5 linked regions of the Callithrix jacchus genome follow. The protein of the gene in region 4 purifies or fractionates together with the protein of the main gene of each other region. This does not show direct contact. Links are inferred from orthologs where the notes say so. Each region holds a gene or a part of one and is shown on either strand. Other genes may lie near its edges.

The links.
Region 1: the proteins of SAP18 (region 4) and SRSF1 purify together in Homo sapiens (co-immunoprecipitation; 4 studies listed by BioGRID and IntAct, with this or other methods). This does not show direct contact. The link is inferred for Callithrix jacchus from reciprocal best matches to the Homo sapiens genes SAP18 and SRSF1.
Region 2: the proteins of SAP18 (region 4) and SSRP1 fractionate together in Homo sapiens (co-fractionation; 3 studies listed by BioGRID and IntAct, with this or other methods). This does not show direct contact. The link is inferred for Callithrix jacchus from reciprocal best matches to the Homo sapiens genes SAP18 and SSRP1.
Region 3: the proteins of SAP18 (region 4) and CHD4 purify together in Homo sapiens (affinity purification with mass spectrometry; 3 studies listed by BioGRID, with this or other methods). This does not show direct contact. The link is inferred for Callithrix jacchus from reciprocal best matches to the Homo sapiens genes SAP18 and CHD4.
Region 5: the proteins of SAP18 (region 4) and EIF4A3 fractionate together in Homo sapiens (co-fractionation; 3 studies listed by BioGRID and IntAct, with this or other methods). This does not show direct contact. The link is inferred for Callithrix jacchus from reciprocal best matches to the Homo sapiens genes SAP18 and EIF4A3.

The regions. Positions count from the first base shown.
Region 1 is NC_133506.1:108,328,539-108,334,903, reverse strand, and holds the start of SRSF1 (serine/arginine-rich splicing factor 1), read right to left. Parts: upstream 4,144-6,365; 5' UTR 4,021-4,143; coding exon 3,827-4,020; exon of another isoform or gene 3,411-3,826; coding exon 3,226-3,410; exon of another isoform or gene 2,861-3,225; coding exon 2,688-2,860; exon of another isoform or gene 2,488-2,687; coding exon 2,301-2,487; exon of another isoform or gene 1,928-2,300; coding exon 1,905-1,927; coding exon of another isoform or gene 1,889-1,904; 3' UTR 1-1,888. UniProt on the Homo sapiens protein: Plays a role in preventing exon skipping, ensuring the accuracy of splicing and regulating alternative splicing.
Region 2 is NC_133511.1:114,900,491-114,906,098, forward strand, and holds part of SSRP1 (FACT complex subunit SSRP1), read right to left. Parts: intron 4,955-5,608; coding exon 4,849-4,954; intron 4,561-4,848; coding exon 4,370-4,560; intron 4,267-4,369; coding exon 4,036-4,266; intron 3,897-4,035; coding exon 3,793-3,896; intron 3,690-3,792; coding exon 3,561-3,689; intron 3,302-3,560; coding exon 3,080-3,301; intron 2,368-3,079; coding exon 2,295-2,367; intron 1,875-2,294; coding exon 1,736-1,874; intron 1,586-1,735; coding exon 1,540-1,585; intron 455-1,539; exon of another isoform or gene 351-454; intron 1-350. UniProt on the Homo sapiens protein: Component of the FACT complex, a general chromatin factor that acts to reorganize nucleosomes. The FACT complex is involved in multiple processes that require DNA as a template such as mRNA elongation, DNA replication and DNA repair.
Region 3 is NC_133510.1:20,793,669-20,799,717, reverse strand, and holds the start of CHD4 (chromodomain-helicase-DNA-binding protein 4), read left to right. Parts: upstream 1-2,074; 5' UTR 2,075-2,185; exon of another isoform or gene 2,186-2,947; intron 2,948-3,036; 5' UTR 3,037-3,114; coding exon 3,115-3,214; intron 3,215-6,049. UniProt on the Homo sapiens protein: ATP-dependent chromatin-remodeling factor that binds and distorts nucleosomal DNA. Acts as a component of the histone deacetylase NuRD complex which participates in the remodeling of chromatin.
Region 4 is NC_133506.1:140,821,807-140,828,120, forward strand, and holds the start of SAP18 (histone deacetylase complex subunit SAP18), read left to right. Parts: upstream 1-2,582; 5' UTR 2,583-2,594; coding exon 2,595-2,723; intron 2,724-2,923; coding exon 2,924-3,033; intron 3,034-6,314. UniProt on the Homo sapiens protein: Component of the SIN3-repressing complex. Enhances the ability of SIN3-HDAC1-mediated transcriptional repression. When tethered to the promoter, it can direct the formation of a repressive complex to core histone proteins.
Region 5 is NC_133506.1:135,889,401-135,895,615, forward strand, and holds the start of EIF4A3 (eukaryotic initiation factor 4A-III), read right to left. Parts: upstream 3,869-6,215; 5' UTR 3,784-3,868; coding exon 3,615-3,783; intron 885-3,614; coding exon 812-884; intron 1-811. UniProt on the Homo sapiens protein: ATP-dependent RNA helicase. Involved in pre-mRNA splicing as component of the spliceosome. Core component of the splicing-dependent multiprotein exon junction complex (EJC) deposited at splice junctions on mRNAs.

The sequences.
Region 1 (6,365 bases), about 32 Mb from region 4:
ACTATTTCCAAGTGAAAATTAATTTACTAGCCATCAACCAATTTTGCACAAAAGCCTGTTGCCTATATGACTACCAGAAAATAAGCAGCATCTGTAGTTTTTAAATCACTTTACAAAGTTGAGAAGCTTATCTTTCAGATGCTAGACCCACCCCCCACCATCATTTACATTACATATACAAACGCCTTATTCCCCTTTTGCCTTCCCCTGAAGACTTTTACAATTAACAATAAAAGATAGCTAATACCATTAGATTGCCTTTTAAGAACTTTTAATTTGCTAACATATAAACACAAGAGTCAAAATCTTACTTAACAATTTAAAGATTAACTGACAGACCCAGTTAGAATCTTACATGAAGAGGAAAAAGGACAACCATGCATAGTTTTTTAAAAAATGTTTATTTTTTCAAAGAAAAATGGCAATAGCCAATTGGAAACCTACTTATTCTTCAACTCCAATTTTGTTTTCTTTAAATTTAGAAGTGACTTACTGATTTACTATTTTAAACAAACCCCCCCCTTTTCCCCTTTAAATGTTTACCATCTACTCGTGCTGAATCCTTCCAAGGAGATTGCTCCAGCGTTTATCTCCAGGTCCTCGCTTTGCTCCTTTTACCAAAAAATGCAAAACACAATTCCATCGTGCATCTTAAGGGCTCCAATCGTCAAAAATAGGAAAAAAAAAAATCTTTGGAATAGCCAATTAAGTTGAATAAAAAAATCCACACGAATGCGGTTTGGTTGGGGCAGGAATCCACTCCTATGTTCCTGGTAATCTGATCCCGCTCCATGAATCCTGGTAATTCATCCTCCCTATCCTATCCACATTATGATTTGAATCCAATGATCCAGCTCCAAGGATTGGGATCCAGTGAGCCCTCTCCAATCCAAACCTTTATAACCAGCAAAACCAAAAAAGAGGAGGCAAAACGTTAGATACTGTAATCAAAAAAGGTTTCTGGGGAATGATGAGTTATGTCAGTCATCAGTTTAACAGATGCACATCAATAACTATCAAATTCCCCAAAACAAGTTTCTGAATGGTGTTCAGATAAATTTTAGAAACTTAATCATCATAGAGACTAACTGGAAGAAGCATCTTATATTTACAGTTCAACTGATAATGCCAACACTTGTTACTGTACAGTGTATTACAGGTTTCGTGGTTGCAAGAAGTTATGTAATTTAAGTTTACTGGCATTGCTACCCACCTAATCTAAAACTAAATCTAATGCTCCCATTTGCAATTTAATTTGTAAATTAAAGTGTTTTAAACATATGAATCAATTATGAATATTAAAGGGGAAGGTGAGACCTAAGTATTCCCAACTAGATTATCTACACCAATACATTGGAACTCTATTATTTTGCTTTCATTTTGTCTTAAAAAAATGAAATAGCAACGCTCTATCAGTCACACAGAGGACATGCAGATTTAGCAGTATTGATATTATACTCTATCTTGTTGGATTTAAAGACACCCTCTACCCACATGTACACCAACAGCAGGTCACACATTAACAGTTGTAACTAAGCACTGCGACAAATTAGCCAGTTCTTCCCACATTAGTCCCTATTATAACAAAAATGGGGGGAAGGGAGCAAAATAAGTTGCTACAAAATGGGCAACATAATTTTGCCACAATTGCCAAGGTTTAAAAGGTAAAGCAATTGTAGCTAAAGGTAACTGAATAAAACATTCAAGTGTTTTAAGGAAAATGTATATAATCATTTTTACCCCCCTGCCTTTTAGTATAAGGTCAATACTGCCAATTTCATCTGTGACAATAGCACTTGGAGTCATACCATTGCCTCCATTATTGATCTGATCCTCCTCAATCCTCCTTTTGACAATCCTAAAATGATTGAAATGTGCTCCACAATCCTTAATCCAAAGCATTCTTAATCCATCTCTTCAGATATGTCTACAGAAAGACACATGAAAAGCAAGATAAACATAAGAACTTCCCCAGGTAAGATAACCATAAACATCCCCAACATCCCAGTTCACACAAATCAGGGCAAAATAGACATTTACACAATATCACAGTCTGAAGAGTATGGAGTTAACTAAATTTAAACAATCCTGTCTATGACATCACTTAAAATACAATTTATCGAAGACACGAGGGGAATGTAGATGTTAGGAGCAAAGGGATATTACAAGAATGCAATTCAACACTTTAGCCCATTCTGAACAAAACAGTTTGAATTAAAAAATGAAAAGATTGTACTGAATAAAGGAAAACTGTATACAACATGGGTTCTACAAAAAGTGTCACCAATCATCTTATGTACGAGAGCGAGATCTGCTATGACGGGGAGAATAGCGTGGTGATCCTCTGCTTCTCCTTGGGGAGTAACTGCGACTCCTGCTGTTGCTTCTGCTACGGCTTCTGCTACGACTACGGCTTCGAGATCGAGATCTTCCATAACTTGGACTTCTGGGCCCATCAACTTTAACCCGGATGTAGGCAGTTTCTCCCTATTGGATAGACAGAACTTTCCATTGAAAGATCTAAGCTTTCACCTAGCTTCAGGCATGCTGAATGAATACAATGTAACTAAAACCAGAAATCTGGCAATTTACTTGGACACCCTTGCCTGAATCCTTACCTTCAAATTCCACTGTTAAGACCACTGTATCCAATTCTGGTCAAAAAAAAGAATAAGCATATAACCTACCTCATGGGATCTAAACTTAGTGTTATCCAGTTTTCGAACTGCATAGGTCATATCTTCTTTCCGTACAAACTCCACGACACCAGTGCCATCTCGGTAAACATCAGCATAACATACATCACCTGCTTCACGCATGTGATCCTTTAAATCCTGCCAACTTCCACTTGGAGGCAGTCCTGAAAAAGCGATTTTTTTTCTTAGTATCAATTATCTTAAATTTCACGTTAAGCTGATAAGGTACATTAGGACAAAGAGTACTTTAAAATACTTAATAGTTGTACTTAAGTGATACCAGGTAAAGAGCTGGTAAGATTCTGGAATCCAGAGTCCAAAATTATTTGTAACGGATCTTCGTATCTAGTACCGCAACCTAATTTGGTAAATCACCACAGCAGCAATCCTCGTTTATTAAATTCACCCAAAAACTAAAGCAATTTAAGACCTAGCATGAAAAATTTGCAATTGTTAAACCGGTCACGCAAGAGAAAATTTTTAAGTAGTTTCCGTCCCTTCACATCAACCACACAACCGGTAGACTTACCAGAGACAACCACTCTGTTTTCAGACCGCCTGGATGGGGGGCCATAGCGACCTCGGGGAGCTCCGCCACCTCCACCCCCGCCGCCTCCTCGGCCTGTTCCACGGCCGCTTCGAGGAAACTCCACCCGCAGACGATATCCATCGTAATCATAGCCGTCGCGACCATACACCGCGTCTTCCGCGTCCCTGCGGGATCGTAGACAGTAAAAGGCATGAGAAAGACCAGGAGGAGAAGATCGCTCAGTCGGGAACCAGCGAACCCCCCGCACATGCGCACCCAACGTGGAAGAGCCCACATGCGCCGCATAATGGGAATGACCCCTCCCCCACCCAGAAACACGCCAGGCTCCCAGCCACTACACCAGCCCTCAGCGCCTCAGTTTCCCGCTCCAGCCTGCGAATGGGCTCCGGGGACGTCCAAGGCGAGGCGCCAGAGAAGCCACACCAACTCAGCTCCTCACTCGACTCCTGCATGGGCGATACAGTCTCGCCCCATCCTCTCTAAGAGCCCCCGCCTTCCCGTTCTCTATATTAAGGCCTTGGAGTCTTCCCCGACCACTCGGACCTATTTCCTCAAGGCTGCAAGCCCCATGCCGCCTCACCGCGGGTCCTCGAACTCAACGAAGGCGAAGGGCGGTCCCCCGCGGCGATTCTTGAGATCGATGTCGCGGATAGCGCCGTATTTGTAGAACACGTCCTCAATGTCCTTGGTTCGGATGTCTGGAGGTAAGTTACCCACGTAAATGCGGCAATCGTTGTTCCCTGCGGGGCCACGAATCACACCACCTCCCGACATGGCGGCGACGAAAAACGTGGACTCGAGAACGGGCCTTCCCACCAAGCCTAGCGCACGGCAGAGCAAGCCCGCAGCGGCACCACGTCTCCCGCGGCCCCTCCAAAATGGCGCCTTTATCAGTTCGGCGCACGGATATGGGGGGGGGGGGAGACAGAGGAAGAGAAGCGGAAGGAAACAGCGATTCGATCCCAACACGCACGCGCTGCGAAGACTACGTTCAACGTACGCGCGCGCACGCACGCGCGACGTCACCCTCCGCACGAAGGGGGAAAAAAAGTCCCCCGCGTTCCCGGCTTGGGGTGGTTTGCGAATAGAGTGGCCGTTTGGTAAAAGTTAAATAAAGAACTCTCTCTAAAGGAGCTAGTCTTCCAGGTCGGGTCTTGAAGGACAGTCAGTTTCCCCAGGAATGAGGATCTCTGAAAGCAACTCGGCGCCTTGAAAGGACTTGGTGAAACCTAGCCTAGAGCCTTGTCCCACCATGCTCTGCGGCGATAACGGCCTTTGGCGGGAAGGAGTCTCGGGGGCGGGGCCAAAGGGGGAGGGACCGGGCGGTTGCTCCGGAAACCCAGGCATCCTTGTAGAGTGCGTCTAGTTCAGAGCTGAGGTGCCATTGGAGAGCTGGGGCGTTGGTTTGTCTTCCCTCTCCTCCTGCGAACAGGGCGTGGCTCCTTAGACAATGAGATTTGTCTAATTTAGCAAAACCGATTTCGATTCCTAAATAAATCCTCTTCACTAAGTACCGTTCCACCTTCTGGTCAGAACTTTGCATAGCTTAGTTCAGCACTCCTTGTGCTTAGTCGCGGTGGGTAGGTCGTACTAGCTATCCGGAAGGGGTGAAAACACCGTACCGCCTCTGGGACCCACACCTCTGTATCTCTTGTTAGTCGCCTATCCGTGGGACTGGCGCAAAAGATTTGCAAATTTGTTTCCGTTGTTTCCTTTCAAATAAAGAGAAGGAAGAAGGGGTGCGTGTGTGCAGTTTTCCCTAAAAGTTACTGATATACCAGGTTTTGAAACTACCAGTCCTCTCAGGTAATAAAATGGAGCGAAATGGATGTGAGAACCGTAACCACTAGAGACCGCGGTTGCTACTCAGGACTGTGATCTACTTGCCTGCAGTCTTGGGAGATAATATTTTACATTTTTTTCCGACGTCTAAAATCTAGATTTTTTATGTTAAATCCAGGGATTTTTAAGGTAATGAATTCAAATTAAAATCAGGCTGGGCGTGGTAGCTCACGCCAGCACTTTGATGGGCGGGTCACATTGAGGTCAGTAGTTCAAGACCAGCTTGGCCAACATGGTGAAAACCAATCGCGGTGGCTCACGCCTGTAATCCCAGCACTTTGGGAGGCCGAGGCGGGTGGATCACGAGGTCAAGAGATCGAGACCATCCTAGTCAACATGGTGAAACCCCGTCTCTACTAAAAAATACAAAAAATGAGCTGGGCATGGTGGCACGTGCCTGTAATCCTACCTACTCGGGAGGCTGAGGCAGGAGAATTGCCTGAACCCAGGAGGCAGAGGTTGCAGTGAGCCGAGATCGCGCCATTGCACTCCAGCCTGGGTAACAATAGAGAAACTCCGTCTCAAAAAATAAATAAATAAATAAATAAAAATAAAAAGCCAGGTGTGGTGGCGGGCGCTTGTAATCCCAGCAGTTTGGGAGGCTGAGGCAGGCCGACAGATCACAAGGTCAGGAGTTTTGAGGCCAACCTGGCCAATATGGTGAAAGCCTGTCTCTACTAAAAATATAAAAATTAGCTGGGCATGGTGGCGTGCGCCTGTAGTCCCAGCTACTCAGGAGGCTGAGGCAGGAGAATCGCTTGAACCCGGAGAGCAGAGGTTGCCGTGAGCCGGGATCGAGCCACTGTACTCCAGCATGGGCGACAGAGTGAAACTCCGTCTCAAAAAAAAGAAAAAGAAAAAAAATCAAATTGAAATAAGCAGGAATGCTTGGTCTTGTGTCTGTGGACCCTCAATATATGCACAGATGACGTTCGGTAGTCGAACTTTCTGTAATATTTTCCAAAGTTTTATGCATGTGTACATCTACAAAAATATATGCATGTGTGTACTTTTTTCTAGGAAGAGGATTTGAAATTTTAATCAAATTCTTAAAGGAGTCCATAGATCCCAAAAGGGAAAAGAACTATATGTGTGTGTGTGTGTGTGTGTGTGTATATATATATATATATATATATATATATATATATGTATGTATGTATTTTTTTTTTGAGTCACCCAGGGTGGAGTGCAATGATGTGATCTCAGCTCCCTGCAACCTCTGCTTCCCTGGCTCAAGCCATTCTTGTGCCTCAGCCTTCCAAGTAGTTAGAATTACA
Region 2 (5,608 bases), on a different chromosome or scaffold from region 4:
ATCCAAAGATACCCACCCAAAAGGGGCAAGAGAGGAAGGCCAGAGGACAGCGTGCACCACCCATCCCTAACACTGCTTCCTCCCATTCACTCAGGTGGCGTCAACCATGCTCTCTCCAGACCCAACCACAGTAATGGCTTACTTGATGAATTAATTAATGAAAAACAAATCAATCAGTGGGCTTCTGCTGCTCTCCCTGGGCATGGCCAAACCGGTTCCATGTCCATCCCCAGGACCCCATGGGCAGAAACACTGCCTCATTCTTGCCTGGAACATAGCCAAAATCCACTTTACCACTTCCTTTGGAGTAATCGTTTTAATCTACCCTACAGTCTTTTTTTTTTTTCTCTTGTCAGATGGGTAATGTGCCGAGGTCATAACAAGGCTGGAGGATGGCATGCTTCACACACGCACGTGAACACCCAGCCATCATGTTTATGAACTATGAAAGGATCGGCCCCTACAGTCTTTTCTGATAAAAAATAATCAGTTACTACAGAAAGAGGAAAACCAACTTCAGTTTGACCCAGTACAGACCCCTGTAATTGACAGTCTTATTTGATATATGTGAAACTTCTCAAAAATGGAATATGCTGCTGGACAGTTTTCAAGGCACTTTCGCAAGTATTTGCTCATTAAACTTTCATAAGCATGTGGCAAGCTGAACTAGTGGACCCCTGTTGGGTTTTTTTGGTGCCCGACATTCTTTTGCAATACTTCTGGATTAAGAGAGCAGACTCCCAATATTCTGTTGGGAACCACCAGAGTGGGGGCAACCCCAACCACAGGCTCTAAGGGTGGGCACTTGGCCTATTTCTGGCGCATCAGAGCCCTGTCCATCCTAATAACTCAGACTTGGAAGGGGCAGGTAACCACTCTGTTCACTACGCTGTTCACCAAAAGAGGTACTTCTGGTGCTGTTTTAAAGCAGTAGGATTAAGCCTGCCCTCAGCTTCTGCAAGTTGCTGGGCACCCCGTGGCGCAAACCTATTTTGAATTAAGGAAATTGGAAGAAACAGGTTTGAGTGCCTGAATCCAATAGTGTCAGAAGCCCCACACTCTGCAGTAACGTGAACTTATGAAATTCCCTTTTATATGTTCTCTTTTAAAGCGAGAGTGAGTCACATTTCTAACACTGCTAATAAAAAGTCTTAACCAATTTTGCAGGAGAACCAATGCATTTCTACCAATGAGAAAATTGAGATTCAATGACTTACTCGACAACATCCAGCAAGTAAATGGCAAGCACCAGCTCTCATTCCCATTCTCTCCTCATCCAAGTACTAACCAGCCACAACTGGCACCTGCAGGGTGGTATGGCCATAGACCCCACTATGCTTTTCTGACTTCAAAATATGCCTTGTACTTACAAAGCCCTGGACAATTTCCAAAACATTTTCATGTATCACCTCATTGGAGGTCACTCTCCCATTCTGGGTCAGTAGCTAATGCTGGGACATGAGAATTGTCCAGAAATTTTGTGGTCCTTTAAGCTTATGGGTCAGCACCTTATCCCCCCAAGGTACCACCAAAACTCACTCCTCTGCCACATCTTCCTCCTCTTCACCTGGGTTGAATGACTCATCTGAAAAAGGACACAGGATGCATCAGCTTCTGAACCAATGGAAATCCCACCTTCACCCAGGCACCCAGCTCTGGTCCAAGGGTGACTCCAGCCCTGGCCACAGTGAGGAGCATCTGACCATCCCCATGCTCAGCACAGAGGCTAACACACCAGTTTCTTCTCCCGAGTCATCGCTGCTGTCATTGGCATTCTCCTCCCGGATCTTGCCCTCCTCCTTCATCCTCTCCAAGTAGGCATCATGCTGGTCCTCATCAGAGTCAGCATATTCATCATAGCTTGGGTTCATGCCCTAGCCAGGGAAGAGTTGAGAGTGGGGCCGACTCACCCTCGAGCCCGAATCCCTGCACACTCAAAAGCACACCCCCATGTCAAGTCAGAGCAGCAGCTCCCAGAAGACCTGGGGCTGGATTGTCCACACACAGCCAACGTGCAGGGCCTACGCCCGAGTACTTCCTGCGAACTGGGTTAGTCCAAGCCCCAAGCCCCTCCCTCTCCCAGCCCCACTGGGGGCTCCCGAGGGGCTGCATAGACTGGTCTAAGGTCATGCAGAGGAAACCTGCACCAGGAAGGGGAAAGGGTCACACGCACCTCTTTTTTCTATAAGGGTAAGAAAAGAAGAGAGAGTGAAAAAGAAGCCGGAAAAATCTCTACCCCTTTCTCCCCTACAGAAAGATCAGGAGAGGGTTTCATCCTCCCCACACAGAAGTACCTCTTTCAATCCTCGGTTTTTGATGTTGAGCTTCTTCGCATTGACAAAATCAAACAGTTTCCCATACTCCTCCCTGTGAGGGGACACGCACCATGTTACCAGACAGGTAGGGCCAACACAGGGGTGAGCTAAACAACGTTCTGATTGCCATGAGCTGGGGTAGACTGTGGAGCCTAGAGCCCTTGACCATGCTACCCAGCCCACAGCTTAGAAACCCCCAGAGGACAGCAGTAAGGCAGAGCCAGACAGTCCTGAAAGAGGAACATGCATAGCTTTGAAGAGCCCTGGGAAAGAAAAGGCAGGGAGGGGTGCACACCTGTTTACCAAATAAGCTCAGAGGAGAGCAAGTGTGGGGGATGGGATATTGGCATCTTTTTTCATTCTTTACAAGGTTGATATGAGGATTACACGTGAAGATGCTTATAAAACGTTTAGTGCACAGTGAGCACTCAATAAGCATTAGCCGCTATGTTCTCGGGCACAAAGCTCATTCCAGGAAAGACAGAGATAGCATTTCCATCATGGCGGGGAGTGGAGGAGAAAAGAGGCCAGTAGTGAAGTCATATAGCTTTCAGAATATGGAACTATTTTTTTTTAACAACCAGAAAGAAAGCAATGGAGAGGCCTCTCAAGTCTGAGCAGTCCAGGGATAAAGACCAAATCCTGATGTAGCAAAAGAAAACTCCTGCTCTAGGGTTGGAGAGTGCCCCAGACCATGCCAGGCTTCCCGGTCAAAGCTGACTCAGGACCAGGATGCCCAGGAAGTGACGGGTGGCGGTGCTCACCTCTCAATGCTGCTGAAGGTATACTGAGTGCCCTGCTTGGTCTCAATTTCAAAGTCAAAGGAACGAGTCGTCGTGGTACCACGAGCAAAGTTGACAAAGGAGATCTCATCGAAGCGGATGTGCACAGGTGGCTTGTGGACGTAGATGAAGCCCCGCTCCAGCGGGTACAGCAGTCCTGAGCTCGCCTTGTACGAACAGGTGATGCACTGGGCCCCTGAGTGCCTGACAGAGGGTGCAGGAAGCCCGGTTAGTGCCAACCTCAGCAGAGACAAAGGGCACATCTAACAGAGGCGACATGTGTGCTCATGTCCTTGACTAAGTAAACGTCACTGAGCTGTGCAGACGGAAGCACTGACACCTGTCATGACACAAGGTCCCATCCAGGGCTCTGACAGGCTGCACTCCCATCTCGGGGGGGGGTTACCAAGGAGACACGGAATTCCCATACCCAGCCAGGCCAGGATCCCAGGCCCACACTCACCCTTGGAAGTTGCCTGGCACCGTGATCTTGCGGTTCACCAGTGCTTTCATGACCCGGCTGACCATCTCATAGAGGGATCCTGACATGTTCTTGGTGAGCCGACCCTCAAAGCGCTTCTCCACTTCTTCCCTACAAAGACGGCAAAGGTGAGGTCACAGCACTACTGCCTTCTAATGGTACACCTGTCTCCTGCCTGGACAGTGGCAGGAGGAGAATCCTGGGAGACACTCACTCATTCATGTTCAGAGTCAACGAAATGTCCTCGTCCTTGGAGAAGAGGAGGATCAGGAAGTGGTAGCGGGTTTGGCCTTGCTTGATTGGGGGATCCAGGCTGATCTAGTAAGGAAGAGTACCAACTGACACTCTACAACAATTTGCAATTAACCAACACAGAATTCTGCACACCAGTGAGATCCGTCTCCTAAACATTTAGGCAAAAAACCAGGATTACGCAGCCATCGGGGTTTCTGCTTACCACAAAGAACATCTGGCGCTGGTCCTTGTGGGGCAATAGAAACAGCCGCAGTACTGTGGTGTAGGGGATCTTGTAGTCAAAGGTCTTGCCGTGCAGGTGCAGAAAGGTGGGGTAGATCCGAATGTCGTAACGACCGCGAGGAGTCAGACACTGCAGCTCCCGGAAGATGCAGATGGCATCTCCCGTGGCCTGGATTACATCCGCCTTCGACAACACATTCTGGGCAAAGGCCTATAAAAGTACACACTGGTGACCAAGCAGCAGGCCCCGCTTCCAGGCCAGCCACCGCCTGCTCAGCAACATCTGCTGCCAGGGCAGCCAGGGGAAGCCTCACCTCAACAGGGTCCACGCCATCCTCCTGGGTGGGAGGGACATAGAAGCGCACCTCCATGAGAGACACCTCTGCGTCATCGTTCTGGTGGAATTCCAGGGTCACCTCATTCTTGCCCGTGGTGCACTGGGACACGTTGCTGAGGGGTATCTCGAAGACTGGCTGGTCACCAATGTCAAAGGAAAGCAGCTGCCCTGTGAGGAAAGGGCTTATCAAGCCGCAGGCTCCCCTGCATAAGCAACATTCCCACCAACCCGAGGTCCACAGAGATGGGAAACCGGGGCGAGTCTGTTCACACTGTAATCCAACTCCCGGCACAGTGCCCAGTACACTGTAGGTACCCAATAATCAGTACTCATGATGAACGTGCAAACAGATAGGAAACCAGAGACACTGGCAGAGGGAAAAGAGCAGAACAAGTCAAAGGCTGACACCCTTCAGGCTATCTTCTTCCCCAAACCTCAGTCCTCCCCAGGACTCACCACCAAATTTCACTGTCCCCCAGTTCCAGCCCTTCACACAAAGGTCCTTCTCCATTAACTCAAGGCGATAGTGAGTTTTGAAGAAATCAGAGAGTTTCTCAAACTCCTGTGGGTGGAGGAAAGAAAGCACAATCCCAGTAAACCTTGGTGGCCTTAACACAGACTTGAATGTCCTGCGATGATCTATTTCTGAGAAATTGCCCCAAAATAGGCTGTATGAGAAACCCATGCTACTAAGCAACCCAGCCCTAACATTGTTTAAAAGACTGTTGAGGCCTGGTGTGGTGGCTCACGCCTGTAATCCCAGCATTTTGGGAGGCTGAGGAGGGTGGATCACCTGAGGTCGGGAGTTCTAGACCAGCCTGACCAACATGGAGAAACCCTGTCTCTACTAAAAACACAAAATTAGCTGGGTGTGGTGGTGGGCACCTGTAATCCCAGCTACTCGGGAGGCTGAATCACTTAAGCCCGGGAGGTGGAGGTTTTGGTGAGCTGAAATCACACGATTGCACTTAGCCTGGGCAACAAAAGCAAAACTCCTTTACCAAAAAAAAAATTGTTCAAAGATCTTGCTTCTGGCCACTGGATCTGACATTCCTGGTTATGGGTTTCACAGTGCCATCTGACTTTATAAAAGCTTTGTATAGGCATTACTTTAATGAAAGTGGAAATTAAAATCAAATAAAGCCTTTAACTCAAGCAGCTCAAAATGAAAAACAAAACCCACACTTTATCAAGCTGGCTAGGTGCAATGGCTCAT
Region 3 (6,049 bases), on a different chromosome or scaffold from region 4:
GGCTCACCGCAACCTCCGCCTCCTGGGTTCAGGCAATTCTCCTGCCTCAGCCTCCTGAGTAGCTGGGATTACAGGCATGCGCCACCATGCCCCGCTAATTTGAGCATTGCTTTTCAATCAAAATCCCCTAGTAAGGGAACAGATAGGAGATTGTCTTGATCATAGTCTATACCCATAAATCCTTTAAGTACCTTCCAGCTCTAGAAGGACCAGTAGGACGTATCCTATTGGGATATGTTCTCTCTTGGGACCAGTGGGATTTTCTGTAACAGGAAATTGGGAAATAGCACTCAGTAGTTCTCCCTTGGCACCATTCTGTGGTGTATCGTTTGCTTGGTGGTTTATGCTTTTTGAAGGGAGGCACCCGTGGTCTTCCTTGCTTCTCCATGGTGTGCAGCTCCGCCTTGTTAGGTACTCTGTCAACAAAGGTTGAATGAGCATGAGTAGTGGTGAGTAGCAGGGGGGAGGGTGGGCCTCCACTCTTGGTGTGTATAGAGTAGGATCCTCAGTTCACATAGTGATGGGATGTCCATCCGCAGGAGTGGCCTAGGGGTGTTGGTGAAAGGTCTCTTACCTGGGGTGTTGTGAGGAGGAGGGAGTGCTAGATGTTGAGAGTCTTGGGATGAGAGTTGCTAATTATTATGGGATGCTGTAGAGTGAATTTGACTTCCTGTAAATGTTTCATCTGTCAGCTTGGTATTTTGGTTGGTTGGTGTTCCTTAAAATTTAGGAGCTGGAGGTAAGCATTTGGAAAATACCTGGATTTTGGTGGGATTGGGTGAGGCCTTAGGTGGGCTCCTGGCCCCTGAGTGTCTGGAAATGATGGTATGAGGGAAGCTGGGCTCCAGACATCAGGAGGCTTTTTGCCAGGATACTGCTTTGGCCCAGAAAAGGATTAAGGTGTGTGTGCAAGTGGGGGCGGGGACAGGGAAGCGTGGGTAGCCTGCCTGGCCCTCCCTGCTCGAGGTGTTAGAATAGACTGACAGCGCCTGGAGATGGGGGTGGGAAGAATATGAATATTATGGGATGCCTGGCTTCAAGGGTATAGGGATGGTGGAGTGGAGATGAAGCATTATGGGATGTGACACTGGGTTGTGTTGGGAGTATTATGGTATGTTTGGTTGACCACGGGCGCCTTGCAATTATTATGGGATGTCAGGATGTGGGTAGGAGAGTAAAATTATTATGGGATAGCTTTCCAGTGTTAGAGGAAAAGAGATTAGATGTCTGTCCATCTGTAGGGCGACAGTAGGGCAGTTGATCATTATGGGTTATCTTTTTGATAGAGGGGTACTTATCATAGACTGTGGAACCAGGAGAGGGAAGGCTGGGGGTGTTGTGAGCCTCTAGACCCTAGCCTGCAGGGACTGAGGGCAGCCCCAGGGGGTTAGTTATTATGGGATGTCAGTATAGAAAGTGGGAGACTGATTATTACTGGATGTGTGTGGGAGGAGGCCGAGTGTCCGTTGTTGTAGTATGGGGGGGGGTGAGTTTCTGACTATTATGGGATATCAAACTGGGGGTGGATGGAGGGTGGTTATTATGGGATGTCTGTGGGGGATGGGGATGAGTATTATGGGATATAAGGCATAAGTGCCGGGAGGGCTGCTTATTATGGGATGGCCATGGGGAGGGAGGGGTGATGAATTATTATGGGATGTTAGCATTAGGGCCAAGAGTGAAGAAGTTGGCAAAGGATGGCTATTATGGGATATCTAAGAGGGTTAGTTGCAAAAGGTCTGCAATATCATCAGATGTCAGTAGCCCCTGGCATATATGTGTATGAAATGTGGGGGGGGCGGGGTGTGTGTTTTGTGTATGTGGGGGGAGTGTCCGTGTGTATTATGGGATGGCCAAGAGGTGGGCGGTTGCCCAGGTGACACGCGCGCGCGCGCTCGAAGGGGCGTGGCCAATGGTTGCCTGAGCGACGAGGGGGCGGGGGTTGCCCGGGAGACCTGGGGAGGAGGGTGGCGGTAGTGGGGGGGGGTTGGAGTTGGTTGAGGTTATTATGGGCTGTCCGTGGGGGGGCGGGGCCTGTGCGGTGGGATTTCCCGGCCGGTGTTTCAGGCCCTTTAAGAGGCGACGCCGGAGCCGGAGCCATTTTCCCCCCTTCGGCCGCGGCGAGGAGGAGTCGGAGCGGGAGTGACACCAGGCCGGACCCAGCGCAACCTGCGGCGGCTCCGGGGTGAGGAGAGCGCGGGGTTCCCAAAAAGACGCCCCTCACGGCCGGACCAGCCCGGAGGGTCATCCCGTCACCCGCCCCTTCGTCAAGCGTCCCCCGACCCGCGGACCGCCCCTTGCCCGGAGAAGCCTACCCTTCCTTTCCTGGCCCTGCAGGGCGCCCGGCCTCCTCCCAGCCCCCGCCCTAACCCTGCCAGAGTCTTGCTCCCCGCGACCCTCCGCCTCTGGCTTGGTCTCCCACAATGCCCGGCGCCCGCCCCCTCGCCCTTTGATCACTTGCCCCCCGGGACACACGTGGCCCGGCCCCCTTCCCGGTGGGACGCTCTCGTCCCCCGCGTCCCTGCCTCCGGCCCCCCGCAGTGCCAGAGCCTCCACGCCCCCTCGTCCCCGCACCTCTTGAGGAGAACCTGAGTTGTCCCAGAGGACAGCCTTTGGAGAGCTGCCCTGTCTGGGGACTGGCCCCTCCCCGGGCGCAGGGAGGCGCCCCCCCACCCCCAAGTGACCTTGTGTCCCCGAGCGCCTTGTTGCCTGCCGCCTCCCCTGGCCCGCCCCCCCCCCGCGCCGCTACCACTCGGACCCCCTCCCCCGTCACACCCCGCTCGGTCCAGCGTCTTCCCTCCCCGCGCCTGCACCAGCCTGCCCTCGGAGGCGTCGCTCCCTCGCTCCGTGGGGGCGCCTGCCGGGGAGCCGGCTTCCGGGCTGCCCCCGAGGAGTGTGGAACTAAGTTCAGCCTGAGCGGTTCGGGTGCCCTGCTAGGGTGGCTGAGGTGGGGGGCGGAAAGAGCGGGTGGGTGTGGGGGAAGGGGACAGTGCGCGTCACTGACTGTTCTCTCTTTCTCCCCCCTCCCCCGCACAGTGACTCGGGCCAGTGTAGAGGGCCCCAGGCCGCCGGCAGGAGCAGCTGGGCCAATTCCCTGGCCGGGAGCGGAAGGGGATGGCGTCGGGCCTGGGCTCCCCGTCCCCCTGCTCGGCGGGCAGTGAGGAGGAGGATATGGATGCACTTTTGAACAACAGCCTGCCCCCACCCCACCCAGGTAACATCTTCCCCAAGGGCCCTGGGTGGGAAGGAGGCATTTGGACTCTCCCGAGTGACTTCTCTGGGGAGGCAGGGCTGTGTTGCTCGGCTGTCTCTGTGCAGAGCCGAAGGTGGAGGGCATCCGAAGGGAGTGGTTCCCTTCTGCGGAGCTCTGGTGTGAGGGGGGTGGAAGCCATGTGCCTCCTGGGCACCGCGGACGGAGATGCCAGCTTGCTGCACTCTGTCTTGAGGAATGCTCTGCAGTTCCCAGTTGAGGGAGCTCTCTGGGCTGGCACGCATTACCTTGTGTGTGGGTCCTCGGAGGAATGCAGGTAGTTGGGACCCCTGGAGGCTTGTGGTAGTGGTGGTGGTGGAGGGGGACGTTGAGGATTCTGAGAAGACCAGCCGGGCATCTGTGCTAGTAGAATCTTGTGGTTGCCTCTGTGGAAAGGAAAGAGGGAGTGCTGGTTACGCTCTATCTGATTATTTTTAGCTTCTGATCAGTTACCGGTTTTCTGTGCTGTCTCAACTGTGTGAAGTTTGAATCGCGCTCCTCAGCATGATCTAGAGCGCTTTTAGCCAGGCAGATTGCTGGAATGTTTTGAGTGGGGAAGTGATGGGGGCTTGGAGAGGATGTAATAGCCTAGTGAGGAGAGGCAAAAGAAGGGAGGGCACCCCTCTTCACCTGGCTAGTGGACATAATTCTGGCTTGTTTCCTAGCAGCTTCTGCCTCTGTGAGGTAGCCCGGGGTTTAGGCTGGCAGTGTGAAGTGCCTTGTGTAGGTGTGCTAGAGGTTGCACTATCTGTGTTTTGGGGTGGCTCCGTGAACTGGCCAAACCCGTATGGTTATAACCACCCTGGCTGATTGGGGGAGCCCTTGTCTATTCTCAAATGATGATTGATCTCGCGTTCCTAAGCAGATCTCTTTCTTTTCTGTCTTTCTTCAGAGCCCCTAGCTAAGTCACCTACTTGTTTCCTTGACCTTCATTTTTTCTAGGTTCATTTTTTTTCCTACATGCCACTGCTTCATCACTTCTGCTTCTACTTTTCTTCTCATTCTGGAGCCTGCTGATTCTGTTTTTGTTTCTCATCCAGCGTTCTTCACTCTGCTCTCTTCTTAGCTCCAGTGGAAGTTGCGGTGGTCTGGGAGAGATGCTCTCAAATTTTGCACTTTTTAAGTTGGAAGTCTTTACTTCAACCTGAGGCCATTTAGGAGAGGGGTTAGTCTTGTCATGGAGTCTTCAACTGTTGGGATGAGAAACTTGGTTTCATCCTTGTGTAGGGTAGAGAGGCAGATTTCTGTGCTCTTGCCCAAGGTGAGAGCAGGGTGGTGGTGGTGGTAAGGGGACCCTGTCCTTCTAAGAGGGGCATGAGAAACTGTAGTGCTGCCTAGACATTGTGGGTTCCACATCTTGGCCTCCTATTGGCCCATTGGTCTGGGGCTGCCCTTCATGTTGACTGGGAGCTATGCAGGAGCTGTGAACTCTGTCCTGGGCTGTAGTGTGACCCACTTTTTCCACTTGCCACACCCCATTCCTGTCCCTTTCCCAAATCTTTATCTCAGTCATTTTGCTGTTTGCCGTTTCAGCATATTATTTGCCTGAGAAGTTTGGGGGCTGTATGTGCATGGAAGGATGTCCGCTTTGCCTCCATGGGTTATCTTTGTCTCTACTTCCAGCTTTTATAGGGGTGCTGAGATGTAGCTGGTGGGTGTTGGGGGTTGACTTGGGGGGATTGGTGGGGAAAAGCCCTTAAGAAAATGATTCTTTCTCGTGAAATCCAGACTGGTGTTCCATTCCCAAGGGAATGGGAGGGGCTTTCTTGTGCCTGGTCTCATTCTGGGCTGAGACTCAGGGAGGCTGATGATGCTTTGTCCAGCCTAATGTCTCAGATTCCATAGTATCTATCTAGCTCAGGAAGTGGGGAGCCAGAGACATTTTAGGGCTAATTCTGGCTGGTCAAGAGTTAAGAGCATGTCAGGGATTGAAGGAGGGATATATATAGATATAGAGATAGATATATACATTTTTGAGACGGAGTCTCACTCTGTCACCCAGGTTAGAGTGCAGTGGCTCGATCTTGGCTCACTGCAACCTCCACGTCTCAGCCTCAAGCGATTCTCCTGCCTTAGCCTCCTGAGTAGCTGGGATTATAGGCACCCACCACCATTGTCAAACTAATTTTTGTATTTTTACTAGAGACGGGGTTTCACTATGTTGGCCAGTCTGGTTTCGAACTCCTGACCTCAAATGATCCACCCGCCTCATCCTCCCAAAATGCTGGGATTACAGGCATAAGCCACTGTGCCTGGCTGGGATATTATTTTCTATTACTCTCTAGGTCCTGCGCCTTTTTGTGCAGATATTCCCATATGTTGGATAGGACTCTGGGTGGGGTTAGTGAGGAAGCTGAGCTTCAGAGACTTCTTGTGGGCCTCCATTACGCAAACTAAATCTTTTGGGTATCAGAAATTTGGGGAGGAGGTTATATGCTCTGACCACAGGTTCACTGAGCCTTTGTTAAATCTCAGCTCTGATGATTGAAAAAATAATTATGATGGAGGGAGTAATTGAGTTCCTCTCATGGTATTACTTTCATGTTTGTCTTGCTTTCCTTGGTTAGGACTTTAGAGGGGCCTCTTGTGAACTGTGTCATCCCAGAGTAGGTGGTATTTAGACCTGCGGCCAGGTAATTGGGGAGGCTTCTATGAGGGCAGTCTTTCTCCGCTACCTTTCTCAACCCCGCCCCCTCCCCTGCCACTTCCTGTCTGTCCTATGTTGGCAGCTGGGTGCCCTGGGCTGGCTTCTGCGGTCAGGAGCCATTTTCCCTCTCCTCAGTGGGTGAGGCACTCCCT
Region 4 (6,314 bases):
GCCTCCCAAGTAGCTGGGACTACAGGTGCGTGCCAACATGCTCAGCTAATTTTTTGCATTTTTAGTAGACACGGGGTTTCACCATGCAGAACAGGCTGGTCTTGAACTTCTGACCTCATAATTCACCTGCCTTAGCCTCTCAAAGTGCTGGGATTACAGGCATGAGCCACAGCTCCCGACAAAATATACTCTTTAATTTTAATTCAAACAGCTATGTAACTAACACCTAGGTTTAAAAAAATGCAATGTTGGCCGGGCACAGTGGCTCAAGCCTGTAATCCCAGCACTTTGGGAGGCCGAGGCGGGTGGATCACGAGGTCAACAGATCGAGACCATCCTGGTCAACATGGTGAAACCCTGTCTCTAATAAAAATACAAAATTAGCTGGGCATGGTGGCGCGTGCCTGTAATCCCAGCTACTCAAGAGGCTGAGGCAGGAGAGTTGCCTGAACCCAGGAGGGGGAGGTTTTGGTGAGCCGAGATCACGCCATTGCACTCCAGCCTGGGTAACAAATGTGAAACTCTGTCTCAAAAAAAAAAAAAAAATGTTCAGAGGTCATTACTACTGAGACTTTTCTGGTAATTTTTGTCACGTAGGAATTCTCCTGAACAATATATTTTAGTATTGCCTGCTTCTGAGTGTTATGAAAATGAATTCACCCAGTATATACATTTTTGTCTTTGGTTTCTTATATTTACCATCTTGTTTGTGAGATTTAGATTGTTTCATATGACTGTAGTTTGTAAATTTGTGTTGCTTTTTAGTATCCCATTGTTGATTGGTAGTTGTGTTGCTGTATAGTACACCACAATTCACTGAACTATCCTACTGTGAATGGACACTTGGGCTGTTTCCAGCTTTTTGTTCTCATGAACAATATTGCTAAGAACATTCTTGTAATGTCTCTGGATAGAGTTGAGCAAGATTTTCTCTAGGGTAGGTACTACTTTCCAAAGCAGGTGTTCCAGTTTACATTCTCAACAGCAGTATGTGAGAATTCCTAGTGGTCTACAAATACTTGTTACTGTCAGAGTTCCTAGTTTTTATTTGAGACAGAGTTTCCCTCTTGTTGCCCAGGCTGGAGTACAATGGCGTGATCTTGGCTCACTGCAGCCCCTGCCTCCTGGGTTCAAGCAATTCTCCTACCTCAGACTCCCAAGTAGCTGAGATCACAGGCTTGCGACACCACGAGGGGGCCAATTTTGTATTTTCAGTAGCGACGAGGCTTAACCATGTTGGTTAGGCTGGTCTGGAACTTCTGACTTAAGTGATCCACCTGTCTTGGGCTCCCAAAGCGCTGGGATTATTGGGATGAGCCACCATGCCCCGCTGTGTTTTTCTTTTTTTGGAGATGGAGTCTCACTCTGTCGCTCAGGCTGCTAGAGTACATTGGAACGATCTTCGCTCACTACCGCCTTTGCCTCCTGGGTTCAAGCAATTCTACTGCCTCAGCCTTCCAAGTAGCTGGGATTACCAGCAACTGCCACCACATTGGGCTAAATTTTTTTTTAAGTAGAGACAGAGTCTCATCGTGTTGGCCAAGCTGGTCTCAAACTGCTGACCTCAAGTCAGGAGTCAGGAGGTCAAGTGATCCGCCTGCCTCGACTTCCCAAAATGCTGGGATTACAGGTGTGAGCTCCCACGCCCTGCTAAAGTTCCTAAGTTTTGCCAATCTAGTGGACGTGGTTTAATCCAATCAATTGAAACTAATGTGCTTGCGCACCTTACATGTTTACTGAATATGGATTTTGTCATTTCCAAAGCAACTATTCAGTAATTTTATCAACTTTTCTATTGGGTTGTCTTTTTAGTTTCTATATATTCTGGATAGCAGCCTTTGTCAATCATATGTGTAACAAATTTCTCCCACTCTGTTGCCTTTTCCTCTTATGATGTATTGTGGCTTTTCCCACTTTTCAGTCGTAAGATAATTCACTTGTAAGTTCAGTCACATACTTAGCATTTTTGGTTCATCATGGAGTTGTTATGTATTTTCAAGGTTAGGTTTTTTTTTTTTTTGGTAGTAATCCAGTCAAATCAATCGCTTCTCGTTAATTCTTTTTGTATCATATATTCCCACCCATTGGTCCTGAAGATATTCCAGAACGTTATTTCCTGCAAGTTCTGGGTTTGCTATTCGCATTCAGGTCTCTGCGCCGCCCAAACTGTGTGTCGCTGTTAGGATCGCTTCATCACCACGTATGCTGGCGACGCCTCTTCCGGCTCTCCTCAGGTGCCGGGATCGCTGGCCTGTTCTTTTATCAGAAATAAGAGATCTATATTTTGTTAATAAAGGAACGTTTTGTGTCCAATAAGGTTTCGTCAATATGCGTGAAAACGCCACATTAAGCTTATTTCGTCTGTGAATACTTAAGCGAAAAAAACACCTCGCCAACAAACTGCCCGGCGACGGACTTTAGGCGCCTCCTTAGTCTCCCCGCTGTCGCCACCACCCTTTTCCTTCTGTCGCAACACGCAGGCGCGCCCGGGCTCACGCGCCGCGCACCGAAGTGCGCCTGCGCCAGGAGACGCCCCGCCCAGTGCCGGCCGAATATAAAATGTGGAGCTTCTCCTCGCGAGAGACTTCGTGTTCATGCTCGCTGCAGGGGTCGGAGGTCAGGGCGAGCGTCTCGCGGGCCGCAGGAGGAAGATGGCGGTGGAATCGCGCGTTACCCAGGAGGAAATTAAGAAGGAGCCAGAGAAGCCGATCGACCGCGAGAAGGTGAAGATCCTTTCCGCTCTGGGGTCCGGGAAGAGGTTAGGGGTGGGCCCGGCAGGGTGCAGAGATGCGGCTTGTGTGCGGGAGGAGGCGGTGTTTTTGGTCTCGGGGCGGCTCGGAGGCCGCGACACCTCGGGAAGGGAAGTGAGGTCCTCGCAGCTGGGGTCTTTAACTTCTGCTCTTCCCTTTTCTGTGTTCCTCAGACATGCCCGCTGCTGCTGCGGGTTTTCACCACCAATAACGGCCGCCACCACCGAATGGACGAGTTCTCCCGGGGAAACGTACCATCCAGCGAGTTGCAGATCTACACTTGGTGAGGGCGGGGGCGGGCTCATGGACCCGTGCCGGGAACCCGGAATATCACTTAATTGCCTTTGCCAGTGTAGTTATTCTCCTTGATTTCAATTTCATTTTTCCACTTGGGGCCTTTGGGCTCGCAAGTAAGAGGTTTCTCTTGTTAGGTGAAAGATTTGCCCGTATTGTAACGCTTTTGTGATTAATGTTGCAACTTTTGGGCGGTTAAGAATTGACAGACCCGAGATTGCTATCATTGTTACAGCTGCTAGGTACAAAAGTGATAGTCAGATAATTAAGTTGTATCCGCCCTAAAGGGACTCATAGTCAAATAAATTGCACTAGGACAACATGGTAAGAGAGAGTGATGTTGTGGAGTGGTATTTGTTATACTCGAGGAGCATTTCCACCTAATATTAAGCCTTAGGTACCAAAACACCAAAAGTGAAAAACTACCAAAACCCGAGTTATTTTCTTGTCTAAGGCTTCATGGAAAAGCTTTTGGTATGTGTTAGTGAAGACTGGTCTCCGAATGTTTCTCTCTTGGGTGTAGCTCCGTACAAACTACTGCAAGCTTGTTTTTAGCCTTGTATATAACTCCTTGGATTGACAGTATAATGGCTTTTTAGTATAAGTAAAAGGTGTGTTCTAAAAAAATGTATATATAAACATTTACATTTACTTAAATAAATATATATAACTGATCCCAAAGGGCCCAATTTATATATACATATATATGTCAGGAGGATTGCTTGAACCTGGGAAGGAAGTGGAGGTTGCAGTGAGCCGAGATTGTGCCACTGCACTCCAAATGTGTTCTCAAAAAAAACATATATATATGTGGTAAACATATGTGTGTATATATATATTTTTGAGACAGGGTCTCACTCTGTTGCCCAGGCTGGAGTGCAGTGGCCTGATCTCAGCTCACTGCAACCTCCATTTCCTGGGTTCAAGTGATTCTTGTGCCTCAGCCTCTCAAGTAGCTGGGATTACAGACACCCATCATCATGCCTGGCTAATTTTTGTATTTTTAGTAGAGATGGGGTTTCACCGTATTGGCCAAGGTGGTCTGAAATTCTTGACCTCAGGTGATCCACCCACCTTGGTCTCCCAGAGTGCTGGGGTTACAGGCTTGAGCTACCATGCCCAGCCTAAAATATATTTTTTATTGTGATAAAAACGTAGATAACAAGCCAGGCACGGTGGCTCACGCCTGTAATCTTGGCACTTTGGGAGGCTGAGGTGGGCAGATCACGTGGGTCAAGGAGTTCAAGACCAGCATGGTGAAACTCTGTCTCTTATTAAAAATGCAAAAATTAGCCAGGTGTGGTGGTACAGGCTTGTAATCCCAGCTACTTGGGAGACTGAGGCAGGAGGATTGTTTGAACCCAGAAAGTGAAGGTTGCAGTGAGCCAAGATTGTGCCACTGCACTCCAGCCTGGGCAACAGAGCAAGACTGCATCTCAGCAAGTATGTATGTATGCATATATTACAAAATTTGCCATGTTAACCTTTTTTTTTTTTTTTTTTTTTAACTTTTTGAATCTCACTCTTGACCAGGCTGGAGCGCAGTGGCGAGATCTCTGCTCGCTGCAACCTCCTGAGTTCAAGCGATTCTCGTGCCTCAGCCTCCTGAGTAGCTAGGATTACAGGTGCCCACCACCACACTTGGCTAATTTTTGTATTTTTAGTAGAGAAGGGGTTTCACCATGTTGGCCAGGTTGGTCTTGAACTCTTGACCTGAAGTGATGCTGCATATTTCATTTCAGTGGACTCATTGCAGTACTTGTCATTTTGTGCCTGGCTTATTTCACTTGTTTCATGGTGTTTTCAGGGTTTACTTATGTTGTAGCATCCATCAGGATTTCCTTCCTTGTTAAGGCTGAATAATATTTCATTGTATGTGTGCGTCACATATGTACTCATCTATTGATGGACACTTGGGTTGTTTCACCTTTTTTACCATTGTGATTAGTGCTGCTGTGAACATTGGCATACAAATGTGTTTGTCTCCCTGCTTTCAGTTCTTTTGAATATATACCTAGAAGTGGTTTACTGGGATGGGATGGGTGTGTGTGTGTGTAAATATATATTTTTTGCCAATCTCCAAATGGTCAGGTAACTAGAAGTTATGTTAATTTTGTTTAATTTTTGAGCACCCACCAAACTTTTTCACAGCAGCTGCACTATTTTACATTCCCAAAAAGATGTATAATTTTAAACTGTGTAAGTCCTGTACACTAGAGCTCAATTCCTTGAAGATTGGGGCCTTACTCATCTTATTTGGAGGTGCTTGTTAAAAGTTACGTAGTAGTATGATACTTGTACTTAAGCATCACTCAAGAGTAAATGCTCCAGAAAGGTTGATTTAACTTATATGGAAGAACTGTTGAATAGTGGCTTGATGAAAAAATCTCTTTTCAGAAATTAAAGTGTATGTTTCTTCCAACAAATAAGAGTTCCTATTTGCCGGGTGTTGTACTTAGCTCCTGAGGGCATAAAGTCAATAAGATACTGCTTCTCCTTGTAGTAAGTCCTTTTATCAGGGAAAGCAGATGAATAAATTAGTGTGATTTTGGGGGTTAAGATGGCAGGGTGAGATTGTTCAACAGACCTTCTACTCTGAATCAAGAAAAAAAATTACCAAAAAATCCTGTCCTAAACTACCCTGAAATTGTAACCAACCAAAGAAGGAATAAGCTTAAGTTATATCGCAAAATGGTTGCCTAAGAAAAGATTCTGAAAGACTGGATGATTGGTGTGGGGGTAACACAAAGGCCCGCCCTCACTCCTGGAAATAGTAATCAGGGAAAATTAGTTAACATATATTGGAAATTCTCAATTGGGAGAAGTAGACTGTGGGGCTAAAGTAGGCAGCCCCAAGACAAGTTACAGAAAGGGAGTGGAAGTCAGAGGAGCCCAGTAGAAGTAGGCTGTGTTCACCAAAGTTTGAGGTGCCCTACGAAGTTTAGAGAACAAGCCAAACGTGCATATCTCCTGTGTGTGGGTAGTCATTAATCAGGTCACTAACAGGGCTCAGCCAGAAAAACAGAATCCGAAGAGATGTGTTAAGAGATATATTGCGGCCGGGCATGGTGGCTCACACCTGTAATCCCAGCACTTTGGGAGCCAAGGTGGGCAGATCACAAGGTCAGGAGTTTGAGACCAGCCTGTCCAACATGGTGAAACCCCATCTCTACTAAAAATACAAAAATTAGCTGGACTTGGTGGCGGGCACCTATAATTCGAAGTACTCAGGAGGTTGAGGCAGGAGAATTGCGTGAACCCAGGATCCAG
Region 5 (6,215 bases), about 4.9 Mb from region 4:
CCAACCTAAAGAGGGGGCCGTGGGAACCTCAACTTGAAGCTGGTTGGTCACAAGTTCTAGACGTCCAGACTTGCGACTGAGATCTGAAAAGAGGGCAGTTGTGAGACTGAGCCCTTGACCTGTGGGACATGGCCCACCTCCAGGCAGATGGTATGAGAGTTGACCTGAAGGACACCCAGCTGGAAAACCCCCACACCTCTGGTCACAGAAGTCTTCTTCTGTGCTGATGACTGTGGTGGTGGTGTGAGAGCAGAAGCAAAGCACAGTCTGTTTTTCCGAAATTGTGTTACATACAATTCCACACACCAAAAACCACTAAGCAAAGCTGGCTAAGAAAATGAAAGCCTTCGGCTGGGCACAGTGGCTCACACCTGTAATCCCTGCACTTTAGGAGGCCAAGACATGTAGATCACCTGAGGTCAGGAGTTTAAGACCAGCCTGACCAAGAGGCTGAAACCCTGTCTCTACTAAAAATGCAAAACTAAGCCGGGCATGGTGGCAGGCGCCTGTAATCCCAGCTACTCGGGGAGGGTGAGGCAGGAGAATCACTTGAACCTGGAAGGCGGAGGCTGCAGTGAGCCGAGATCACTCTAGCCCCGGTAACAGAGCTAGACTCCGTCTCCAAAAAAAAAAAAAATGAAAGCCTTCTAGAGTAGAGAACACAAATTTAAAAATTATTAAACCCTGTGGCTAAAGTCAGGGAAAGCGTTGGTACTGAACGTGTAGAAACTGAGGAAAACGGTCATCCCAGAGCATCTAACTGTACTGCCCCGACTTGCATCCAGCCTGTGCTGACAGCAGGACGACTTACTGTGCGATGACGTCTCTCCCTTTGATTATCTGCTTAATTGCTCGTTGCTGGATCGCTGATGGTTTTTCAAAACCTGAAATAAAACAGAAAATTAGCTCTCACAATGACAGCATAGAAACCCTATACTGGCCGGGCGAGGAGGCTCACGCCTATAATCCCAGCACTTTGGGAGGCCAAGGCGGGTGGATCACGAGGTCAAGAGATCGAGACCATACTGGTCAACAACGTGAAACCCCGTCTCTACAAAAAGTACAAAAATTAGCTGGGCATGGTGGTGCGCGCCTGTAGTCCCAGCTACTCAAGAGGCTAAGGCAGGAGAATTGCTTGAACCCAGAAGGCGGAGGTTACGGTGAGCCGAGACTGTGCCATTGCACTCCAGTATGGGTAACAACAGCGAAACTCCGTCTCAAAAAAAAAAAAAGAAACCCTGTACTGTGAGCTTGTCAGGGGCAGACATGGTTTGCTTTTTGAACCCGCCCTCCAGCCTAACCCAATGTTCAACATAGCAAGCTCTGAAGCCCCAGAGGCTCAATGAACTGGGCTGAGAGGATTTCTACACTAACATGGGATGTCATTTGTAAAGACAAATCTCTATTTAAACAGCACCACCAAGGTGTAGTATACAGAGACCCCAGTTCTGTTTTGTTGTTTTTTAAATCTTTTGGGTGCGCAGCATCTGGAAGTTTAAGTGCCAAAATGTTCCCGGCAGTACTGCAGCAGAGAAGTGGGAAGAAGCTTACTTTACTCTAATTACTTCTCTAGGTTTGACTCTATTACAAACAACCTACACTACTTTTTAAGAAAAAAAAAAAAAAGACCAGGAAAGTCACTGTAGCCACTGTTCTCTCCTCCTAGCTAGCATTAAGTCTGTGTGTGGCTGACAGGCCTACACTCTTCTTAATCTGCTTGGGTCACACTGCGGGGTGTCCTAAGCTGTTCTCCTGTCTGGACGCAGCTCACTCAGTATACCACCATCTCTCCTGCAAAGCAACTACCACACAGAGGGGTGAGGCTATTTTGAAGGACTACATGTTTTTCAAGTAAATAAAACGTTATGTACAAAAACTCTTATTTCAATTATTTTTTGGTAGCCTTTTAAATGTAGCTTTGCTCAGTTCTGGGGCATAGCAAAAAATAAGAAAAGAAAAAGTAGCACAATTTCCCATCTTAACACAAAAGCAAATATAGCAGATGATTTAAACTCTTCACAAACAGCAGCATATAGATGGGAATCTAACAACAGTGCCTTAGGGCAGGGATCGCCTGAGTGCCAGGAAACCAGGTGGGGGCTCTCAGCCTCACTGTGAGGCTTGGCTACAATACCTTCTCACCACCCATCTCTGCAACTTTGCTTCACTTTGTCCAAACTGTTGTGGCATCAAGAACTACAGGATAAGGCCAGGTGGGGTGGCTCACACCTGTAATCCCAGCACTTTGGGAGGCTGAGGCTGGTGGATCACTGAGGTCAGGAGTTCAAGACCAGCCTGGGCAACACAGCAAAACCCGTCCCTACTAAAAATACAAAACTTAGTTCGGCATGGTTGTGCATGCCTATAATCCCAGCTACTCTAGAGACTGAGGCTAAGGAATCACTTGAACCCCAGCGGCAGAAGTTGCAGTGAGCCAAGTTCATGCCACCACATTCCAGCCTTGGCGACAGAGAAAGACCGTCAGAAAGAAAAGAAAGAGAACTACAGAACAAAAGATATCCCTGTCCCAAGCATTAAACACAGACCATTTATTTCAGATGCTGGTAATTCCCATCTAGTGCCCAACCCAACCCCTTCTCCAGGTTCTAAACGTCCACAGACCTTTCAAACAGATCAAGACAAAGTTCCTGATGCTGACTCTCTGGAGTGCTGCCCACCTAGGCGAATGTTTGCAGCATCAACCACCGGTTACTCAAAACACTCCAGTCCTCCTCCTTCTGTCACTCACATTCAGTCCATCAGCCAATGCTGTCAGCTCCCTGGCACTCCATCTCCAAAGCAGCACAACCCTCTCTCCCCTGAACTAGAGAAAAGCTCCCAACTGGTCTCCCTGTTTCCTCTCCTGCCTCGCTTCACCTCACCTGAAATTCACGGGACACCCAAAAGAATCTTTTAAACTATAAATCTGATCGTCACGTAGCTACTTAAAACCTTCCAGTGGCTTCCCACTGGATTTCTAAATGAAATTCAAACTGTTCGTCACCCTACACGTCTTTGTTAGATCTGGCCCCTACCTAACTTTACAAAATCCCACCTGTTTCAATTCCTGGAGGGCACCGGCTGTTCCTTCTGCCCCAAATGCTCTTCCCTCTTCTCCTAATAGCTCCTTCATCCAAACCTCAGCTCAAATGGCACCCCCTCCTGCGAACCCCGTTACCTCTCTGCTTTACTAATTCTCTCCTCCTTCGCAGTTCCACTACATTCAATTACCCTGCTTCAGGTCTTCACAGCAACAACCACTGCCTAAGCAACCTGACCCTATGCTGTCCCCGCCAACGAAATTCAGAAATTGGTTTACCGCCAAAACCCCAGTTCCTAGAAAAGCTGGTAGGTACAAAACAGTTATGTGCTCAATGAACGACGCTAATGTGCCTCTAAGCGGCTGCAGCCCCCGTCGGACCCACGCGGAGCTCTGCACAGTGGACACACACCGAACGCGCCGACACAGCCAGGTGTGAGGGCGCGGACAAGGACGGAGCGGGAGTCGCACGTCCCTGGTCCCCGAGCCTCGGCCCTGACCACGACCTCGGGAGCGCGGGGCCGGCCGGGGAGTCGCCAGTCCTGCCCCCAACCCGCGGCCCGCGCCCGCTCACCGTACGCGTAGATGCCCCGCAGTAGGTCCTCCCGCAGGCCCATGGTGTCGAACGTGGGGGTCACGTCCACCTCCTCGCTGGTCTCGAATTCCACTTTGGTCATGTCTTCCTCTTTGAGCAGCCGCTTCCGCGCCGATCCAGAGGTCGCCATCGTGGCCGTGGCCGCCATGATTCTGAGTGCTCGGAAGAGCACAGCGCGCGCAGCAGCGGAAAGCAATAGAAGAAGCCCCGTGCAGCCGCCGCCAAGAGGAACTGACGCCTTAGCGTGCGAAAGCGTGAGACGTGCGTACGTACGTACGTGCGTGCGCGCGCCGCTGCCACGCCTCTGGAGGGGCGTGAAAGGAAAAAGGGCGTAAGCCGCAGGGAAATGGAAGTTGTTTCTGCTCTCGCACGATATGCAGTTCCCGCGGGATCTCGCTGAGGGCGGGGCACCCGGTTCCCTATAAAAGATATGGAGGCCGCGGGACTTTCAGGGTTGGTGGCGTTTTGTGGTGGCTGTGGGTTTCTACTAATCCCTGCGCTGAGGTTCTTCGAGCGGCCTGTGGACCGGAACACCCTGGAAACAGGCTGGGGGCCGCGAGGGTGCCTCCGCTCCGGGCATCGTCTTCAGACGGCCCCGCCTCAAGCAAAAAAGACGGGCACGGGTCCCCTCTCGGCCCGCGGTGGGTGGATGGCGTCGCGGACCCGTAGTGGAGGCGCCGAGCTCGCCGGGGGGATGATGCGGGTTGAAACCCTCACGGCCGCCGGTGTGGGTCTGGCGCGGCGCTGGGCTCGGGCGGGTCCGCGCTGGGCAGAACCAGGGCCCCGGACGCCGGCGTCCTTCCTGGGGGACCCGCCTGTGTGTGTCTTCGCCGTTTGCCTGGCATGTTGGAGAAAGGGTCATGCTCCGTCGCCCAGGCTGGGGTGCAGTGGTGGGATCAGGACTCACTGCAGCATCCGCCTCCCGGGTTGAAGCGATTCTCCTGCCTCAGCCTCCCGAGGAGCTGGGACTACAGGCGAGTGCCACCACGCCTGGCTAACTTAAAAATTTTTTGTAGAGACGGTGGTCGGGGGACTGTCCCAGTATTGTCCAGGTTGGGCTTGAACTCCTGGGGCTCAGGTGATACCGCCCGCCTTGGCCTCCGAAAGGGCTGGGATTACAGGCGTGAGCCACTGCGCGCAGCAAGCAGCTGTTACAAAGTAAAATACAAGCTGAGCCTCCAATTTACTCTTAATGAAGGCCTCGGGTCTGTGTATAAGGTGCCAATAATGTGTGTCCTGCAGTAGAGATAACCCAGAAGGGGTGGTTTTTTTATTGCCCAGCAGAACGTTAACCGGTTAGGCATTTTAACCTGCTTTTTGTTCGTTTGTTTTGAGACAGGGTCTGACTCTGTCGCCCAGGCTGGAGTGCCATGGTACGATCTCGGCTCACTGCAACCTCCATCTCCCGAGCGCAGGCGATCCTCCCACCTCAGCTTCCAGAGTACCTGGAACCACAGGTGCCACTGCTGTGCGCAGCCCCTAACCCGCTTTCTTATCTGACACTTCTTTAAGTGCGTCTACATACCAACCTCCTCTCATGCCTTTTTGAAGCAGCTCCACCGTCTTTGAAGGGCAGTTCATGTTGTGTTGAGAATCATGTTTCTAACTTTGGGGAAATTGTATATCCGCGAGTGCCAGCGCTATCCTTTCTTTTCTTTTCCTTCTTCTTTTCTTTTCGAGACGGAGTCTCACTCAGTCGCCCAGGCTGGAATACAGTGGTGCCATCTCGGCTCACTGCAACCTTCACCTCTCAGGTTCAAGTGATTCTTCTGCCTCAGCCTCCTGAGTAGCTGGGATTACAGGGATGTGCCACCACGCCTAGCTAATTTTTGTATTTTTTGTAGGGACAGGATTTCACTATGTTGGTCAGGTTGGTCTTGAACTCCTGACCACATACTGCGCCTGCCTCGGCCTCCCAAAGTGCTGGGGTTACAGTCATGAGCCATGGTGCCCAGCTCTGCCCTTTCTTATGGTCAGAAACCTGGCTTGCATCGCTGGGCACATCTTTAACCCATGGCTTCTTTCCAGGAGTGCTTGAAAGCTCTCCTTTTATGAAGGTTAATTTTAATTAAAACCAGAGCGTCCTTTTATGAAGAAATCAGTGGGTTGCAGTATTTCAAGGATGAACAAGTAAATGCAGCCTTCTCCAAGAGTGAATCTCACGCTGGCACCAGAATTTGTCTATGCCAGATAATTGACCTCCTGATAAATGTGCCTAGTAAGGATGCTGGTATTACTCTAAATATTAAATAGTTATAAAGCTGAATAAAATGTAAGTTCTCATATCTTCCTCACTCCACAAAGGATCGTTCAGTGCCCTCAAACTGGCTTTGTTGTAAAATACACACAGATTTCAATGATTTAGTATAAGAGAATGTAAAACCTTGTTGACTAAAGAAAGACAAGCTTTTAAAGAATTAAACTTAGTTTTATTCAGAAGCCTTACTGAGGACCCTAGACCCTGGCCCCAGCCCAGGAGCTCAAGCAATCCTCCTGCCCCAGTCTCTCAAAGTGCTGGGATAACAGATGTGGGCTACCAGGCTTCACCTACTTCTTCACAGTTTTAAAATCTAATCCATA